2 linked regions of the Xenopus tropicalis genome follow. The protein of the gene in region 2 interacts with the protein of the main gene of each other region in a biochemical or structural test. Links are inferred from orthologs where the notes say so. Each region holds a gene or a part of one and is shown on either strand. Other genes may lie near its edges.

Evidence for each region.
Region 1: the proteins of ralgds (region 2) and rap2a form a complex in vitro, tested with the Homo sapiens proteins (2 studies listed by BioGRID). The link is inferred for Xenopus tropicalis from reciprocal best matches to the Homo sapiens genes RALGDS and RAP2A.

Annotation. Positions count from the first base shown.
Region 1 is NC_030678.2:121,612,064-121,616,150, forward strand, and holds the start of rap2a (ras-related protein Rap-2a), read right to left. Parts: upstream 2,801-4,087; 5' UTR 2,694-2,800; coding exon 2,380-2,693; intron 1-2,379. UniProt on the Homo sapiens protein: Small GTP-binding protein which cycles between a GDP-bound inactive and a GTP-bound active form. In its active form interacts with and regulates several effectors including MAP4K4, MINK1 and TNIK.
Region 2 is NC_030684.2:11,315,712-11,318,137, reverse strand, and holds part of ralgds (ral guanine nucleotide dissociation stimulator), read right to left. Parts: intron 1,229-2,426; coding exon 1,053-1,228; 3' UTR 1-1,052. UniProt on the Homo sapiens protein: Functions as a guanine nucleotide exchange factor (GEF) activating either RalA or RalB GTPases and plays an important role in intracellular transport. Interacts and acts as an effector molecule for R-Ras, H-Ras, K-Ras, and Rap.

The DNA.
Region 1 (4,087 bases), on a different chromosome or scaffold from region 2:
TAAAATCTTCATAGTCATATTTAAAATGAGAATGAGATATCCTCAGTTGGAACACACACTACAGTAGAGTTCCAACTAGTCACTGGAAGCAATGTCTGGACAAAAGTGTTGCGAGTAATGGATTATTATGGTTGAGCCGCCGCACACAAGTTTATAATCACAATTCATGGTGAAGACACAGGGGGCAATTAGTCACCGCAATTTAAAAAAAAACTCAGTAGTGGCGACTAATTGCAGAAATTGAACTGCTATAGATGTGACTAATTGCGTGTCATTTGCAGCAGGGCAATTAGTCACTGCAACTTTTTAAAAAGTTGCAGCCACTAATTGCCCCGTGTGACTTCGCACCACTGGACTTTGGAGTAATGGATTTTTTTTTTCTTCAGGCCAGCATTCCTCATCACATAGAGAAAATGCACTGGTGTTCTTTATAGCTACATATTATGGGAAGTATTATAATAATTATACTTTAAATAATAGACATTTGGGGAGATATTAAACTGAAAAGGGATTAAACAATTCTAGTAGACACCAAACTATCGGAGGCTGACACAAAGCTGTTTCATAACTAGGAATTCATTCAGGGAAAAGAAGCACAGTTCCACTATCAACAAAGAAAGAGCTACTTTATTGTATGGGTAGTCAGGTTTGAGAATGGAGGATGACACACTGTGTAAAATTGAAATTAGTGAATCAAAACCAGACTGTATAAGAATGAAATGAACCCGATGAGCTACAGGTCTAAGAGCAATGGCTATCCTAACCATTTTGTTGCTTGCTTTTCAGCTTACAGTGGGAATCATAACACTTGTACCTGTGGGCCAAACAACTATCACTACAGTTTTTACCCTACTGAAGTTTTGATTTTTGCCTTTTGATTTTTTCATCAAAACTGAATCCCGAAGTGCCCAAGTAGGCAAGCTAGTGTTAATGGTCATGCACCAACCCATGGCATTAATATACAGAAGGAAAATAGCTCACCAATACCCATAAGCTCAAAGCCAACATGAAAAAACCCATGTACCACTGTAGCCCTTTGGATACTCATGAAAAACTGTTTCTAACAACTACTTAGATATAAATGAATTCAATGAGGCACAACTTGTGGACCAAAGCTGCACTGTTGAATTGGATCTGCTGGTATCCCACAACAGGTAGGATAGATCAAGTCTACCCGCCCTATCTATAGTCTTTAATGGTCACAGCATGACTGCTTTATATCACAGCATGATCGTTTCAAGCATATATATATATATATATATATATATATATATATATTTTATAACTTAAATGTCATATATTTACTTCTAACTCATTTAATCGCCAATATAAAGTGTATTAACCATGACTGATGGTATTTCACACATTTTTGCATTGTTTTTTCTGGTGCTACTAGTGTAGCAATTTGTGTCTAAAACAACTTGTACTATATATATATATATATATATATATATATATATATATATATATATATATATATTATACACTTCTCTTGTGTATACATGCACAGAGGTTTTCACTAAATCATGCCATTAAATAGAAAGCCTATCCAGATGTAGACAATTTGTGTACAGCCACAGACTTAGATGATAATGGCAGGATATTCACAGATGCTTGTTATGTTCATATGTAATTAAGATGCTTTTGGCTGAGGGTTTCAGTGCCTTTCAATCCCTTTACATAAGGTCAGTAGAGCATATGTGCATGTTTATTTAAAGGCAAGTTCATATATGATACATGATGACTCAGTAGAATGACAGTAGGGAGCAGCATGTGTTGTGTTTATATATATATATATATATGAATACCCTGAGGCTCCACTGTGCAGCAAAGCCATCAAGCAAAAAGCTCTGCAATTCTGCCAGTGTCTGAGATTCCTCTGAGGAGCCTCATTGTTCCCTGCTGTAACAGAGAGACTATGGGGAAAGACCCAGACATATTAAATATCTATGTCAGTCATACTGCAGGGACCAATATTCTGTTTCCAATCTATAATATAAAGCATTACATGTACAAAAGCTGGACTGGGCAGACAAACAAAGAAAAGAAATAAATGAAGGATGCAATAGGGGAGCAGCCACAGCAGAAGGCTCTACCCCAGCCTGCCCCAATGGGCACTAACAGGGCAACAGGACAATGAGCTGCACAGGAGCCAATGAGAGGCGGCTTGGCTGGAGACAGGGGGGCAGTTTACTGGCAGGTTGAACAAAAGTAACTAGAGACTAAGGGCCCCCTTTGTTCTGTGCAGTAAATGATGCAGAGCCGCGGCCCCACACCTGTGCTGTACGGCAATGCCAAGCTGGCAGCGGAATGTGAGAGTTGTAGTTGAACAGCTGGAGGGCCGCGTCCAACCCTACTCCCCCCCCCCCCCCCGCTTGCCTTTTGACGCGGATGATCTGGTCCCTCATGGGCTTGATATCCTGGAAGCTCTGCTGGTTCACCATGCTGTACACTAGGATGAAGCCCTGCCCGTTCTTGATGTACAAGTCCCGCATAGAGGCGAACTGCTCGGTACCGGCCGTGTCCAGGATCTCCAGCACGGAGGGGGACGAGTCTACCTCTATCTCCTTGCGGTAGAAATCCTCAATGGTCGGGTCGTACTTCTCGATGAATGTCCCTGTGACAAATTGCACGGTCAAGGCCGACTTGCCGACCCCGCCGCTTCCCAGGACCACCACCTTATACTCACGCATCGTCCCCCTCCGCTCCCTCACAGCGCACCGCTTCTCCGCCTCCCCCTCCGTCCTCGCCGCCCCTCCTCTGCAGCGGCTTTACGAGACATGGGAAAAAGGCCGGGCTACGTGGGCCCGGTGCCCGGAGCTCCCCTCTCCCGGAGCGGCTGTTATTCGCTCATTCGCCCCCCAGTGACTCGCGTCGGCCTCTAACTACCCACTCCCCGCTCTGCCAGTGCTCTACGCCCACTTTGCTCGTCATGGCCCTCGCCTCTCTACCATTGGCTCCTTCACCTGTCGCCTTAGCAACTACCGGTCCTCAGGAACACAGGGAGGAGAACGGGACTGGCATCACCAAATCCGCCTTCTTTTATCAGGATGCTGTGAGGAAAAAAAGCCATCGCTCGGTCCTCAGCGGCAGCCAATCAGAGTGGAGTATGACCTTGGCGTCATACTCACAAGCCAATAGAAAGAGACCAGTGCTGAAAATGGGTTTGAAATAAAGATCCGCTGCCCGTCCTATGAGTCTCTCTATGCCAGGGATCCGCAACCTTTTATATTTGTGAGCCGCATTTAAATGGAAAAAGTTTTGGGGAGCAACACAAGCATTAAAAAAGTTCCTGGGGGTGCCAATAAAGAGCTATAATTGGCTACTTAATAGCCCCTATGTGGACTGGCAGCCTACAGAAAGCTCTGTTTGGCATTATACTTGGTTTTTATGCAACCAAAACTTGCCTCCTTACCAGAAATTCAGAAACGAGCACCTGCGTTGAGGCCACGGGGAGCAACATCCAAGGGGTTGGTGAGCAACATGTTACTCATGGGCCACTGGTTGGGGACCACTGCTCTATGCAATGTATAATATGAGAACATATTGCATTAAACGTAGAAATATTAACTCTCCATTTATATATATACTTGTATGTCATTCCTTTATTCCGTAAATCCCTGCAGACTTTTTAAGCAACAGGTTGTTTAGTAGTACCTTGTACTGTAATATTAGCAACTCCCTGCGACTCCTCTTTCCTCTCAGGAGGACCTCTCCATTACTGCTGGGGGAAGGCTTAACCACACTGATTCCACACGGAACTTGATCTCACAATTAATTTGGGCACCAGTGGTTCTTAAGAACAAATGATAACTGTTAATGGAATGCCTTCCCTATCTCTCTGGAGGTGCTGATTTGGATAGTACAAGCTCACAAATCAGTAAACACTTCAAATACATTATCACATAAGTTGTTACTCACAGCAGTAGTGTTCACAAAACCCCAGAGATATTATTGCCTTGGTGAAACAATCCCCAGTGCTAGGCGGAGCTCACAGTTGTCCCATGCTCCAGGAACCTTATATCTATCCTCTTGAGTCCCTATACTGGCGGCTTGGCACGACATACTAACACTTAGTAGCCTCCTC
Region 2 (2,426 bases):
CGCACAAACGTCATCACACAGTTCATCGTATTTACAGTTACCCGAAGGCGCCAGGCGTTGGCTGAAACGTTGGCACGGGGCTTAAAGTATCTCCATTTGTCTATTTACAACCAATAAATATTTCTTTAAAAAAGAAAAAATAACATTTTTACACGCACACGCAAAGGACGTAAATCCACAGTACTGACCCACTCCATCGCCGTTGCTGGAGATCGCTTACAAATGTCACATTTTGGCCCCAAAGTGTTCCAAAAATAAAATAAAAAGTGAATATTTACACAAAAAAAAAAAAAACTATACAATTTTTAAGGGGGTTTAGTACTTGCACCTTTCTCCGGCTGGTAAGAGCGACTATCGACCAATGGGCAGAGAAAGGTTCCAAGGTGGGGGGGTGGTTGCTGATTCATCTTTGGTGTGATTTGAAATGCTGCACTGGATGATGGGGGGCGGAGAAAGGGCAGGACTGGGGGGGAGGGGGCGGTGTCAGTCTCCACCTTAACAGGCCTTCATTTAACATGGCTTCCTTCATGGTCACGTTGGAGGCCAGCCATATCCTTCCAGGGCTTTCAGGGTTTCTAAGGTTTTTGGAAAGTGCTTCATGTTGGTGAGAAAACCCCTCAGGGGAAGTCCCTTTTGTAAAAGGAGAAGGCGACTCCCTGATCATAGTCTTCCTCATCGAAAGGGCAATGCCACAAAGTGTCAGTACGGCACAGGGAGGGCGTTGCGCGCTATAGCCAGCATCATTAATACTGAATCCCTCACTACTGCACGCGATGGGCGTCTTCTCCTACGTCCCACCCCACCCTTCTCTTGAAGGCACCTAAGGCATGGAGGCAGATTTTGAGTCCCGTTGATGGGCAAGGGCTTCCTCTCTCCTCACAGTCAACAAGAGGAAGCCGAGGGTCGGCCTGAGCTCCGCGACTGCTCCCACCTGAACCAAGAAGTCATCTGCTGGACTGGAGCTGTAAGTGCTGTCCTTCTGGGGGGCACTGGTCCCACCAATGTCCTGTTGAGGGGGCTCCAACGAGGCCATTTTGACCACCTTGCACGTGTCAGAAGATGCCTTTGGCGATCTTGAGTCCCTTCTGCTTCATGCGGGGCAATGTGGAGCTGGAGCCCTGCTTGATCTTCACGCCTTTGGAGAAGCCGCGTTTCTTCAGTACAAAGTCGTAGTTGGCGCCTGAGTTCATGGCATAAAACACGTTGGCGTTGTCAGGGATCTTCAGTTCTGCAGAGGGGAAGCCATAAGAGAAGGGGAATCACGTTAGAGTGGTACCGTTAGAACAGAAACTATACCCCCTGCCACCTTGCAGGTACAAACACAGGGGGCAGGTTTCTCCCAACATACACTGTTCTCTTGCACATAAGTAATGAGTATCTGCTGTGAAGTCACAACTCACAGGGTAAATATACAATGCAATCGCACTGCTTATAGAGCTGGACTCCTGCCATTGGGAGGAAGGAGGAGACTTAGCTCTATGGAGAATAGAAGAACTACTTGCTTGTCTCTAAATTCTGACAGTCCAACATCTGGCCTTATACTCTTTCTAAACTAGGTACCAGGCTCTTCCTCTCTCTCCTGTATCTCTGAAGTCTCAATTCGCTCTCTTGCACAACAAGCCTTCCTTCATTTGCCTGCACCTCTATTCTAAATTTCCTGTCCTGCACTTCTATCCCTACTTCACTGTCCTGTGGCTCTATTGGTCACTCTCTCTCTCTCTCTCTCTCTTGCACATCCAGCCCTCATTTTCCTGTATATCTAGCCTCCATTTCCTGTTCTGCACCTCTATCCCTCCTTCCCTCTCCTGCCCCTCTATCCCCTCCTTCCCTCTCCTGCCCCTCTATCCCTCCTTCCCTCTCCTGCACCTCTATCCCTCCTGCCCTCTCCTGCCCCTCTATCCCTCCTTCACCTCTATCCCTCCCTTCCCTCTCATGCCCCTCTATCCCTCCTTCCCTCTCCTGCCCCTCTATCCCCTCCTTCCCTCTCCTGCCCCTCTATCCCCTCCTTCCCTCTCCTGCCCCTCTATCCCCTCCTTCCCTCTCCTGCCCCTCTATCCCCTCCTTCCCTCTCCTGCCCCTCTATCCCCTCCTTCCCTCTCCTGCCCCTCTATCCCCTCCTTCCCTCTCCTGCCCCTCTATCCCCTCCTTCCCTCTCCTGCCCCTCTATCCCCTCCTTCCCTCTCCTGCCCTCTATCCCCTCCTTCCCTCTCCTGCACCTCTATTGGTCACTCTCTCTCTCTCTCTCTTGCACATCCAGCCCTCATTTTCCTGTATATCTAGCCTCCATTTCCTGTTCTGCACCTCTATCCCTCCTTCCCTCTCCTGCACCTCTATCCCTCCTTCCCTCTCATGCCCCTCTATCCCCTCCTTCCCCTCTATCCCCTCCTTCCCTCTCCTGCACCTCTATCCCCTCCTTCCCTCTCCTG